Astyanax mexicanus: one gene and its partners. The protein of the gene in region 1 purifies or fractionates together with the protein of each later gene. This does not show direct contact. Links are inferred from orthologs where the notes say so. Each region holds a gene or a part of one and is shown in the gene's direction. Other genes may lie near its edges. The genes, in order: wdr24, nprl3 and sec13.

What was found.
Region 2: the proteins of wdr24 (region 1) and nprl3 purify together in Homo sapiens (affinity purification with western blotting; 6 studies listed by BioGRID and IntAct, with this or other methods). This does not show direct contact. The link is inferred for Astyanax mexicanus from reciprocal best matches to the Homo sapiens genes WDR24 and NPRL3.
Region 3: the proteins of wdr24 (region 1) and sec13 purify together in Homo sapiens (affinity purification with mass spectrometry; 5 studies listed by BioGRID and IntAct, counting the BioPlex papers as one, with this or other methods). This does not show direct contact. The link is inferred for Astyanax mexicanus from reciprocal best matches to the Homo sapiens genes WDR24 and SEC13.

The regions. Positions count from the first base shown.
Region 1 is NC_064413.1:14,970,554-14,975,090, forward strand, and holds the start of wdr24 (GATOR complex protein WDR24), read left to right. Parts: upstream 1-1,764; 5' UTR 1,765-1,802; intron 1,803-1,815; exon of another isoform or gene 1,816-1,964; intron 1,965-4,273; 5' UTR 4,274-4,419; intron 4,420-4,537. Other genes in the region: uncharacterized protein zgc:112496, read right to left, coding at 106-245. UniProt on the Homo sapiens protein: Catalytic component of the GATOR2 complex, a multiprotein complex that acts as an activator of the amino acid-sensing branch of the mTORC1 signaling pathway. The GATOR2 complex indirectly activates mTORC1 through the inhibition of the GATOR1 subcomplex.
Region 2 is NC_064410.1:64,278,421-64,282,957, reverse strand, and holds the start of nprl3 (GATOR complex protein NPRL3), read left to right. Parts: upstream 1-1,996; 5' UTR 1,997-2,846; coding exon 2,847-3,036; intron 3,037-4,054; coding exon 4,055-4,124; intron 4,125-4,537. UniProt on the Homo sapiens protein: As a component of the GATOR1 complex functions as an inhibitor of the amino acid-sensing branch of the mTORC1 pathway.
Region 3 is NC_064431.1:1,059,476-1,064,012, reverse strand, and holds the start of sec13 (protein SEC13 homolog), read left to right. Parts: upstream 1-1,641; 5' UTR 1,642-1,781; coding exon 1,782-1,784; intron 1,785-3,469; coding exon 3,470-3,514; intron 3,515-3,622; coding exon 3,623-3,738; intron 3,739-4,371; coding exon 4,372-4,523; intron 4,524-4,537. Other genes in the region: cand2 (cullin-associated NEDD8-dissociated protein 2), read right to left, coding at 449-516. UniProt on the Homo sapiens protein: Functions as a component of the nuclear pore complex (NPC) and the COPII coat. At the endoplasmic reticulum, SEC13 is involved in the biogenesis of COPII-coated vesicles.

The DNA.
Region 1 (4,537 bases):
TGGCAAACCTAGTACAGTCAAGCACTGATGTGTGTAAATGAGAGACTATATCAGACTGTGAAGCTGTGTCTATAGCTTTTCATTCATGGCACCTGTCTGTCGTACCATTTGTCTAAAGCCAACAGCTTCCCCGAACGTTTCCCTTTTCCAGCAGACTTTGCTTCCACCACAGTCCAGTATTTGCCGTAAATACGCGTCCACACTGCCGGATCTTCACAGGTGTACAGCTGCTCAGCCCCAGACATGCTAACAGACATATAGAGAAATACAGAGAGAAAGAGTTTATTTAGCTTAAATATCTGATTTAGGTAAAATTACAAGCCTAAAAATGAAATGTATGTTATTTTAATCATTAGCTCAATTTTTATGCTGGTCTGACCAAATACGTAGAAAAGTACTCTAATTCCACACTCTAGACAATGCAATAAAGTAATCTCCTAAGTCAAAATAAAATCAAATACTAAATTTCAGCTTGTGTTCAGCTACAATTGAATTGAGGAAATAATATTAAAAGTCAAAAAGACAGCCCTGTAATTACTTTCTGTCTAAACTGTTCCAATTCATACTTTTTTCTTCCCAAAAATCCAATAAGAAAGCAGACTTGTATCAGTTATGTCATACAAGTGACCATCTGCTGTACAAGAGAGGAGGAGGGTACAGTACAGGATGGAAGGTTAATCAAATCAAACTGATCAACTGAATTAATCAGTTCTCAGTAGATAGACATTTGCTTATGTCTGAAACCTATAAAGAACTATTTTCCTAAAATAAAAACTGAAATACAAGGAGGTTATGTAAGGTTAAAGGGGGCTGCTTACTATTCTGGAAAAATAAATAAATAAAAGGCAATGACATGTAAAGGAAACAACAACTTGTACATCACTTTAAATGGTACAGCCTGTTTACATATAAAAAGTTAAGTAAGAACTAAAAAAAAATCAATATTTTACAATTGTTTTACAATATCACTCAGCCCTACTTTAATCAAAACTTTATTTTGCCCATTAATATGTTACTGGTGTTTGCTTCTACATTAAAAAACGTCAGTACAGTGTTTTGTGTAGAGACCCCAAAGTATCAAGGTACAAAAAATATATTTAGAGACTTAAAATCTTCCCTCAGTGTATAAAAATGTATTCAATACATTTCGTTTTAAAATAATTAAAGAGAACACATGAAATAATTTTCTTAAATAAAGAAATATATATATATATATCAGCTTAATTTGAATTTAGAGTGCAGAAGTGCAGAAGGGCGTTAAAACAGAAATGAAACGCGCCCCGCCTGTTTTACTAGTCCGTGTAGCTTATTTAACCTGCAGTAATAAAAGTCACCTTCAATTTTGTCTTAATACATTGCAACAAGTGTGAATTACAGCCACAGTAAAGCCCTGCAGCTCTACTTTCTGATCTATTCCACTGTTTTATTTCAGTAGAGGACATAGTTAAAAACGATATTTAATTATTAAAACAATAAAGATTAATAACTCCACAGTACTATATACAGCAAAGTAAACTACATTCAATTTCTATTAAAACTACATTTACTCAGAATGGGCTTTTAGTCGGTAATACATACCTTAGACTCCCTATATTCACCTAGATAATAAGAAATACTAACAGTATGGGATTATTAGATGTATTAAATTGCTGATAGTATTTCCTCTCGTGTAAAAAGCAGAGAACCCCGAGAAATCCACTTTTAAATTCTGTAACTAAAAACACACACGCGCGTGCTGCACCAAAGCGGAAGTGAATGCTCCACATCCGGTTCCTCTTTCTCCTGCAGGTTTGTTTTGAAAGGTCAGTTATGGGATTTTTTTTAACTCATTTTTATTATCGTTATTATTATTATCGCTGTATAAAACAGAATCAACACCAGCCGAGAAGAGCAGACACACACAGAGATACAGAGCCGGAGCGGCAGGTTGAGTTACTGCAGCGGCGGAGGAGCAGCAGAGAGAGGTTCAGGGATCTGTTTTTACTTCTTCTAAAACTGATTATTATTAATTTCTCCAGTTTCCTGCAGCAGATTAGAGCAGCTCTGCACTCACTTTGTTCCACAGCACTGTGAGGGAATGTGTTCAGTCTGAGAGCTCTTATCGGAAATCTCCTGTTTACTAAAAAAGAGCACATGGACCAACAGACCCGTGTTTACAAATAGCAGAAATTCAAAGACCACGATTCACTTAACTTACACTTACCTTACACTTACCTAACGATTTATTAAACGCAGTTAATTATTTATTAACGCCGAAAAAATATTAATTAACGTTACATAATTCTCTTTTTATAAGTTTTTTTTTATTGTTTATGATATTTTATTACATCATTGGAACGGTTTATTACATTGAGGGAATGATTCATTACATCCCTGTTAAAAAAATCCAGCTAGTAATCCAGAGAAAACATACTCTGTGCTGGTTAGGAGTTAACTAAAGAGTAACTAAACCCCCTGGTATTAGCTGAATCCCCCCACAGCTCAGACTTGAAAAATGCTAAATAAATAAATAAATGAGAGGGGTAGTTTGGGAGTAACACTGGGTGATGTGTAGGTTTAGGGGTGGGGCAGGAGGGACAGGAAGGAAATTCTAAGCAGGGATGGTATGTTTCATTACTTTAAAGGAACACATTTAATCTGTTAATGAAAAACATATTTATCAAATCTGTGTATTATTTTATTAAATCTAAGAAATTATTTATTAGATGCAGTAATTGTTTTTTTTATTTAGAGAATGATTGGTTACATTTTGGGAATATTTTGTTTAATTGATGGAGTGTTTTTTTTTTTATTAGAGGCACTATTTTATTAAACTGAAAATAATAAAGTTATTTAATTCTGGCCATGTTTTATTACACAAGGGAACATTTTAGGCCTCTAAATATTATTTTTGTACCTTAAAACTTTAGGGGCACTATAGACAAGATTGCAACTATTAAACTATTCTCTAATAGTGAAAAACTAAAAAAAAAAGTACCTAAAAACAAATTTTTACTGCATAAAAACACAGATAAACTGCATTGCATTACATTGTAAAAATGCATGAATGTATTTCAGAATATGTTGTTTATATACCAAATATAGGTGGAAATATTAAACACAAATATGTAATGTATCTTAATGGTGACAAATTCTTACTATATTATAAGCAAATACACATTTAATGTGGTTTAGTGGGTACATATAGATGCAACTATATGCTATAAGCATGCAACATGTTTTTTAAAATATTTTACAGGTTTTTTGTTTTGACAATTTCTTTTTAATGCAACTGGGAATAGTGGAAATGTTCATACGGTACTCTGCTCTTTGCCTTTGACAAACTTGGACTACTCTTTTGGTAACAAAACAGTGGAAACAAACATAAGTCATTCATGTTGTTTTCAAACAAACTAAAAACTTTTAAGGACTTGAGGATGGCATCAAATCACTTTTAATCAGTTTTTTACATGCTAAATTTGCTTTGTTCAAAAAAATTACCAAAGGAACATTTAGGAGTGGATAAAATATAACTAAACTAAACTAAGTTCCCTGTGAAAGGTAACAAAGGCATCCTGGAAGCAACTCTCCAACCAATATAGCAATTATTTTAAACAGGACAAAAGTGATATGTCAAAATGACTTATAGTTTGATTCACAGCGACCTATCTTCCCTTTGAGAGGGCAAGTGGACCCAAGCCATTCTAGCAAGATGCCCCTACTGCAAAATAGAGCCACCTGACCCTCTCACAGTATAGGGGTAAAGCCTCCTGACCTGCATTGTTTTCTTAATGTATTCCATTATGGATGCACCAATTATTTATCAACTGACATTAATTAGCTGAAAATGCCAAAGACTAGCAAGTTAAAATACATTTATGCTATTTTATTTATTTATTGGTGAATAAACTGCCTCTCTGTGCTCTCTGCTGCTCAACAATGAACCCCCTTTTCAAACTTGCTGTAGTTTATGGAATAATCTACACTTATTTTCTAAGGGTTTTCCTTTAATTTGTCACCCACTACAACACGTTAATAGAGATTATGTAACCGACACAAGAATAAATTATCATGGTCCCGCACTGACCATGGTTGGTTGCTGAAATTTCATTACAGGCGAATACTAAAAAATCAAAGCAGCTAAACTATTCTCCATTTGTATGTCTCTCACCCTCTACACTAACAGCAAAAATGGCAATACTCGCTATAATATTTGAATAGAAGTGACAAAAATAGTAGTGATAAAAAAAAAAAAATACATATACATTTCTGTCTCTCTCTTTGCCTTTAACAGATCACTGTTTTGCATGGGGCACGTGCAGGGGACTGAGGTGCCCGTGCCTTGTGTTGACATGAGGAGACATGGTGAACCGGATAAACTTCCAGTGATGAACTATACAGTAACTACAGGTCACTAGTGCTGTGTTCATTAAAGCAGAGGTGGGTAACAAAGGCTTATAAAATATCAGATGTTTAAATGTTCAGTTAAAATTCTCAGTAGAAAAAGCTTGTGAATAAATCTATAAATTAAACTAAATGCAAGGGAAAAAAATACAAA
Region 2 (4,537 bases), on another chromosome or scaffold:
AAAGAACAGAATTACCATAAAAAAAACAATAAATGAATAAAAAATGTTTCCACGCATGGGCGCTGGTGTTGAGAAGCACATCTCGATGGGTTACACAATTCGACAGAACACCGCGCGCTGCACCGTCGTAGGCGCTCTGCTGAACCACTGAGTAAAACACATTTCTCATGTCTCATTTTAATAAGACTCATTCAGAATGGTGATTATTTTATTTTAAAACAATATTGCAATAGCAAATATGTGTATGCTTTTTATAAGTAACACTGTCTGTTACAAATAATAATTAATATATACCCAGATAGCAAAAAGGATCTGGCCCAGATCCGGCACAATTCAAAACGGATCTGGCCCAGTGTCCTTTTGCACAGTGGGGTAGCAATTATTGTGTACATTTTACTTGCAGTTCATTGTTATTTTATTAATAGTATTGTTGTCCGTTATGTTCTGGTGATAATTACAATATAAATAGCCTAAATGATACATTAGAAACATATTTTTGGCATAATATTTTAAAGATTGTGAGTTTTGCACGTTTTCTGCTGGGAAAGTCTGGCCGAACACATCTGGAAACACCCTAGTTAAGACCACGGTGGTTTAAACCAACATAATCCAGACTTCTGTGGTACCAACAAAGTACGATGGTTTCGGGAAACGGTCGTACTTCAGATGTTAGTTAGTTTAACGATGCATCGTACCACGTTAGTTCAATGCTAGGCTCCGTCGTTGTACGGGAAACGCACCCCAGGGGTGCGTTTCCCGTACAACGACGTGGTATGCATCGTTAACCTAACTAACATCTGAAGATGTCATCTGTCTCCTGATATTTTGATTCAGGCTTTCCAAATATTCTACCGAAATCATGTTTAAATATGGGGCTTTTTCTAGCAATTTTATATTTAAAATTTAAATATAGCAAAACTCTTTACAGTTAGTCTTTGTTAAATAATATATATCACATGAAATATGTAGAAATATGTAGGCTACATAAATAGATATTTTAAAAAAGAGAACATTAATTGTCATTATGAAAAAAAAAACATGGGACGACTAGGATTCGAACTAGGCTTCCATCCGGTGTTCTGTCGAGTTTTGCTACCCTGTCAAACCGTGCTTCCCTAGCGCTTATTTAAATGTAAAATTGCTAGAAAAGGCCCCATGTTTAAACACACTTTCGGTAGGATATTTGGAAAGCCTGAAACAAAATATCAGGAGACAGTTTAGAGTTATAGGGGTGATTATAAGCCTTATTTTTTTCATTGCTCACTTATTATTACTTTCATTATTATCAGCTGTCATTTACGCATGTGTAATACTCAGAAATAATGGCAAGTAAGAGATAATTACCATAAAAATAATAAACAAATAAAAAGTGTTTCACCCATGGGCACTGGTGTTAAGAAGCACATCTCGATGGGTTGCACAATTCGACAGAACACCGCTCGCTGCACCGTCGTAGGCGCTCTGCTGAAACAGTAGCACACATTTCTCAGGTCTCCTTGGTGACTCACGCCGCACTCAAGGAGTCCGGAGATAGGCGTGTCCCTCCGCAGCTTGTTATTATTAACTGCTATGCATCGGTTAAAAAGTGTTTAGCCCAATGTGCCCACAGTTTTAAAGTTGTAAAAAGTACTCCAGTCTTTTCTAACTTGCTGCCTATCACTCTACCTCTCTGCATTTTTAAATCTTCCCACTTTCATTTTTTTAACCAATAACTTAAAAACGTAAGTTGAATAAACTTGGGTAAATTTGAATAACTCACAGGAAGTTAAGACAATATGTTATTTTAAGTTATTTTTATGTAAAACGAAGGAACTTGAGTTCAATATACTAAACTTGTCATGGCAATTGGAATTGAAAAGAACAAATAAGTTCACATAACTTAATGTGGCTGTAATGTTTTACAGTGCAGATTATGTACATATAGACGTAAAAATGAAGCAGAGTAAACAAGACAAAGCAAAAATGTAAACCAAATCTAACTAAATCTATCTATCTATAATATAGCATTTAATGGTGCAGTGCGGAACCTTAAAGCGCAGAGTCTGTTTCCTACGGTAACAAAAAACGTGACTCAAGACACTGAGCCAAGCTAATGCTAACCAATAGCACGTTATTGCATAGCTCGTATTTCCTAAGAAATTACTGTTAAAATAGGGGATTTTAGGCTGTTTTTTTATTGAACACGAATTTAAATAATGAATATATCAGTGATTAAAGTATAGTTAAGGTCTGTGGGGCTGGATGTTAGTTAGCTGTATTCCCTGTGTTTAATCTGCATTAACTGTCATTATCATGGTTTATTGACTAATGTATTAATTTATAGAATTTATTTACTGTTTTTATTTATGGTGATTTATTTAGGCCTTGATGAAAGTCGGAACCTTAAAAGGCAGTGTCTGTTTCCTACGGTACCAAAAAAGTGTGACTCAAAACACTGAGCCAAGCTAATGCTAACCAGTAGCGCATGTTAGCACGTATTTCCTAAGAAATTAATGTTAAAATAGGGGATTTTAGGCTGGTTTGTATTAAACATGAATTAAAATAATTAATATATTAGTGATTAAAGTATAGTTAAGGTCTGTGGGGCTGGAGTTTACTCGGTTTTTATGTTAGCTAGCTGTAGCCTCAGTACTGTATATCAGGGTGTATTTAGTATAATGGTTTATTAATTTATAGTGATTTATTTACTGGTTTATTAATTTATAGTGATTTATTTAGGCTTCATATCGCAGATACTCTTCATATTAAGGTATTATCTGTGGTTGAAGAGCTGGGAGATGGGTATATAAAGCTACAGGCTGGTTTATACAGTAAGAAAGACCCCAGGCTTCTCTAAACCCAGTAAAATGTCCAGGCAGTCCTCGGTAGATTTGGACCCCGGTTCCGAACCCAGACCGCCCGACACCGTGCTGCAGAACCACGGGGAGAAGAACAGCCCGATCAGCGTGATCCTGGTCAGTTCGGGCAGCAGAGGAAACAAACTGCTGTTCAGATACCCGTTTCTCAGAGTGTCCGAGAACATCGCTTCATCCGCAGGTATCAGTACTCTAACCCTAAATACTCTCTCAACCAATCCTGGGGCGGTACGTCCTGATGAGTGCCAGTTCCAACATTACACTGAAAAAAAAAATCTTACCAACTGACCTGTTGCACCTATCCTTTTTTAATTTCTCTAGTTGGTCTAATTTAATTTCTTCTGACAACTTTCGAAATTTGTTCCAAAAAAAAAAGTTATTAAGTTGGTCCAACTTCATGTTTTGAATTGTGTCATGGTATGTTCCCGTTCCTCAAAGTGTCCGAGAACACCGCTTCATCCGCAAGTATCAGTACTGTACCAAAATACTCTCTCCACCAATCCTGTTGCGGTCTGTCCTGATGAGTGCCAGTTCCAACATTGCGCCTATTTTTTTTATTAAATTTTTTGTCTAATTGAAGTTCTGCCGACAACTCTAGAAATTTGGTCCAGTTAAATTTTCTTTTCTTTTTTTTTTGCGATAAAGATATTCTTGGCAATCTGACAAAACATTAAATAAAAAAAATTAAAAAATCCAGCATACACTACTATGAGTAACAGAAAAAAAACATGTTTTAGTTTGCGGGCTATTTCACCAAATTAAACTTTTCTTCATAGATTGGATAACTTTATTAACATTTTAAAATAATGAAAAAAAAAAACTGAATTTGAGGTACCAGTCATAAGTTTAGGCACACCTTTCTTTTTATGATTCTTCTTAAACTGTAATTTTTTTTTACAATGAAAAATATACATTAAAGCTATAAAGGAACAAACGCAGAGCTATTTATTAAACAAAAAGTGTTAAACAACCAGAATATGTTTTATACTTAAGAGGTTTTCTCAGCACCTTGAAGGAAGGAGTTTCTGGAGGTGCTGAACAATAGTTGCTGCTTTTCTTCATGCTGTGTATCTCAAATGTTAAAAAAAGAATGTGTTCTCTGTAAATCTGACTTTTGGAGATTATTTGGAATTAATATTTTACTTACATAACCAGTACTAATCAGACAATACTGATTTGATATGGTTTTTATTTTTAAGCAAAACAGCGGAGTCCCTATGTGTTGAGCAGCACGAGTGATGTCACAGATGACCCGGATGGAGATTCGAGGTGATCATTGATTAAAATATTGAGCAGAATGACTTGTTGCTTTTGATGAAGCTTTGAAATTACTGTGGTGTTTGTGTTGTTGTGGGTTTGGATTGCATTATAACGCTCAACTAAATCATTTATTTATTTATGTTTTATTTTTCCAAAATAGTTATTTTTATTTATTTATTTGTTTGTTAGTTTTTTTTTCCCAAAAATACATCTTAAAGTTTCTTAGTTAGAGATAACCAAAGACTGTAAAAAAAGATGGACGCCGTGTCTCCGTTCCCATTCATTCAGTGAAAATGAAGCCGAAATCTTCCTCCATGTTGGCGATCCTGAAACCCGATTCTGCGCAGTAGAGACCAGAGGGGGGAGAAAGACTGTGGAGAGCAGCCTACTCATTTAAATAACCCCGCCCCTGAGGGCTGCCT
Region 3 (4,537 bases), on another chromosome or scaffold:
TTAAGGCTAGTTAAAAAAAAATGCATTATTGAACCCCTGGTTTAAGGGACAGATCATGCATTCAAATTATTTAGTAAAAAAAATGAATATACTTGTTTTTCATTAGAAACTGGTGATATGTACAATTTGTAGTTTTGTAGTATCATTTAAAATAATAAAATATATATGGATTATGTTAAAGGTCAATAATTTTATTGTTATAAGTTTAAACAGAGAATAAAACAATATTATTTTTTAGTTGTTGGATGATGAACAGCTGTGTAATATTCAGACACAGAGACAGAGTAATCTCAGGGTTTAGTAAAGGGTTAAACTGACAGGTCTGCTGTTAACAGGACAAAAGAAAAACATTAAAATATTAAAATAAAAGTTTATTAACAGTAAAAAGTATTTTTTTTAATATTAGTCACTTAATTCCACGCCCGCATGCGCACACAGCCTCTCTTACCGAAAGTCTTTGTCAGTTGAGGTCATTTTTTCCAACAAGTTGGAAATATAATAGGTGATATTCGACATTTTGACTTTTTTAAACTCTAAATTAACACTAATAAAGCGAGATTATGGTCTGAACGGGGTAAAAAGAGAGAGAAGTGTTCAGGTCAGGATCATAACGCGTGATTCAGAGCGGCTCTGTGGCGCAGAGTAAACTCAGAAACACGACACTCAACAGCACACAGATATTAATAGAGCGATATTACTCAGGGCGCTCCAAACGGAACACATGCAGCCTAACTAGGGCACTTAAGAAGCAGGAACTCTCTGCGTAGTGTTACAGTATAGGGTGAGAGTATGGAGGGAATGGGACAGGGCCTGCAGCGTTAGATAGACTGCCACCTTGTGGCCACTATACAGATTACAAGATTAAACATAAAATACAATACAATACAACTCCTGATCTCCGGACTGAGATTTATAAATGATTTTTATTAATTTATTATACTTACGGAAGCTCATTCCCACCACCTAAAATTAAAAAAGAAAAACATTTTTTTTTTAGTATTTTAAAATTCCAAGCCCTTTTTTAAATACTAGTAGACTGTACAGAGACCGAAGCAGGTAAGACAAAGACTATATCAAAATAATGAAATAGTAGTTGACTTAAAAATACAAATTAGAGTTTTTTATATTGTAGGCGGCAGGAATGGGCTTTTAATAAATAAAATATTTATTATTATTATTATTATTATTATTATTATTATTATTATTATTATTATTATTATTATTATTATTACTGTTGTTGTTGTTATTATTTTTTATTAATTTTACTGTTACGCTAATCATTAAACTGCGGGAACAGTTTATTAAATAGTAGTAATTATTTATTGAAGTCTATAATTTAGGACACTGAGAGAACATTTAGAAAAACGAGGGGAGGATTTATTCAATTAAATTGAGATAATCCTTTATTAAATTAAGGGGAAAAAAATATTATTATTGTTATTGTTAGTAGTAGTAAGAGCAGTCGTATTACTACTACTTTTCATTAAACTGGTGGAACAGTTTATTAAATTTAGGTAATTATTTATTAAACTCTAACGCTCTGGATGACATATTTCATGCACCGATCATTTATTAATTCTGTTAATTTCAATGTTTAAACTAAATTGTGCTGAAATCCAGAAGCTTCGGAACTATTATTCGGGTCCGTGTCTCCACCCGGAACCTTTATGAAACCGGCGGTCTGTTTGCCACGTAGAGATCAGTTCTGCCCTTTGGCTGATTTTCTCTCCGGATAAAGTTACTGTTTTATAGTTTCTCTGGATCCGGATTAATAAAGGAAGATGGTGAGTATTAAAGCGCTAATAATCTCAGATTAATCCCGCTGTTTCTGACCGCTGTCTGTGTTTAAACCGGTAAAAAACGCTGTTATTTAGCGGAGAGCTAACAGGCTAACATTAGCACCCGGATTCTGTAATATAATAAATAAAGAGCGTAAAACCGATTATAACCTTTATTTACAGTAAAGATACACTTTTATTAACTGGTTGTGGATTAACTGCTCGTGTTTAAGGTTAAAGATGATCTGAATAAAAGATGATTAGTGTTAAAGTGACTAACGGAAACATTAGCCTAGACTTCCATTCATTTCAATACAAAAATAATAAATAAACTGAAATAAACTAAATGTGTTGTTTTAGCTTTAATTAAACTTTAATTCAGGTTAGTTTTCGTGAATTATAGCTTGTTTATTTAAGTGTACTGATGTTGGATAATTCTTAAGCTGTATATCCAGTATTATCCACGTAGGCATAACTCTGCAGCCAAACTTATTAAATAAAAAAAAATTAAAGAAGTAAATATGGGTTTAAAACAGCCAGAAGTGGCCCGTGACGATACGTTTAAAACTTATGCATGCTATTAGAATTGTCAGATATCATAGTTTAGTGAGTGATCTGGAGTCATATAACTTATACAGAGCTGTGATAAAGTAAGTTATTTGTCGCCTACAGATTTCTTTAGTTTTTGCTTTCTTTTCTGATTTTTTTTCTTTTTCAGCAGACACCACCCCCACTTTAAATGAATAATTAGCTTTATTAGTGTGTATACAGAGGTATAGTTACTGTGATCATGGTGCATATAATAGAGAGATAGTAATAGAAGCAAAATAACAGGCCAAAAAGGGGAGAGACAAAAAAACCTTACAAAATATAGCAAAAAAAAGTCAGATATTAAGGAACAACAACAGCGAAAGTATAAGAGCTACAATAGAGAAACAAATACGTTTTTGTATAATATGTGGAAATAAATAGAGAGAAAAGAATTAGAGAAAGAGATAAGTATCTGCCATTTCTCTCTCTCTCTCTCTTTCTTTCTTTCTTTCTCTGTCTGTGTGTGTGTGTGTGTGGGGGGGGGGATTAGGGCTGCAACTAATGATTATTTTGTTAGTCGACTAATCTGATGATTGTTTTGTGGATTAGTCGATTAGTCAACAATTATTTCTGTCATGTTCTCCATCTCTAAAAACAATAAAAACAGTTACAAATTATATTTAAAAGGCGTTATTTAAAATATTTAAAATTATATTTAAATGTCTGGATGTTGTGAAAAGTGCTGATATTTAGTGAGTTAATTTGAAATCTGTGCATTTTTGGGCAATTTGGGCACTTTAGGAGAGGCAGACGAAGTTAAGACGTTTACCCATCACCCATTGCGCTTCTGTTCCCAGCCCTTTGTGTAATGCAGTACTGTTACAAATGAACACTTAGTCGACAATTAAAATTTGTAGTCGACAAATTTAAATAATCAACACTGTCGATTATATTGATTAATCGTCACAGCCCTGATCGGAACATTCAGGCAGAGGTTTTGGATGTATAGGAGGATTACCTGTGTAATGGTTGTGTTAGTGGTGTGTTGATCATCTGTGTGTGTGAGAGCTTCGTTTTTATTATACTATTATAATTTTTTTATTATACACTTTGAATAGTTAATTCTCCATCACTCATTCCTTTCTGCTCTTGTATTTCAGGTGTCTGTAATTAATACAGTGGATACCTCACACGAGGACATGATCGTAAGTATTGGTTTGGTGGTTTTAGTGAACTTTGGTCTATTTTGTGTGCCTGATTGAGAATTCTTTAATAATCATTATCATCATCTTTATCTTCTCTTTCTTTCTCAGCATGATGCCCAGATGGACTACTATGGCACACGACTGGCGACCTGCTCCTCTGATCGCTCTGTGAAGATCTTTGATGTAAAGAATGGAGGACAGATTCTTGTGGCTGATTTGAGGGGGTAGGCAGTTTTATTTTTTGGAATATTCATTAATGTTGCTATAATATTATTACACTGTAAACCCATACAACCCATAAAACTCAAATGATTTAAGTCTGTTTTACATAAAATTTGATATTTCTAAACAATACTCAACTATTGACTATTTTGAGTTAGTTGAACTGAATTTGTGAGCTCATATACTGTACTATTCAAACTGAGTTCTTTGAGTTGAACCAACTGTTAATAACTGAGTTTAGTCTATTTTGCCATTAACAGCTTCTTTTCCATTGGCTTCTGTCACAATCTATTTGCATACTGGGTGTGTCCAACAGTTTCTGACTAACACTCACCATCAGTGTGTAGTGATTCCCCCTGGGCTACCTTACAAATAAATCAACTTCTCCTTTAGTTGTAATAAATTGATGTTCTAAGTTATGATAACTTAAGTTTTCATCCCCCATTACTTTAATTTTTTGAGGCAACCGGTTTCCTCAAGTTTTTGAAGTAAATTCAACTTATCCGGTCTTACAGTTTAGAGTCATTAGGTCATTTAATCGAATATTTAATTTGAAGTGAATGAATGCTTTCAGCACAAATTTATTCATTGTTCTTGATTGTATTCATCTTTTTTCTTTATCTTTGTTTATACAGGCATGAAGGTCCAGTGTGGCAGGTAGCCTGGGCTCATCCAACCTACGGCAACATCCTGGCCTCCTGTTCCTATGACCGAAAAGTCATTATCTGGAAAGAGGAGAACGGGACATGGGATAAGATGTACAAATACACAGGCCACAACTCCTCAGGTACCTTCTGCTGT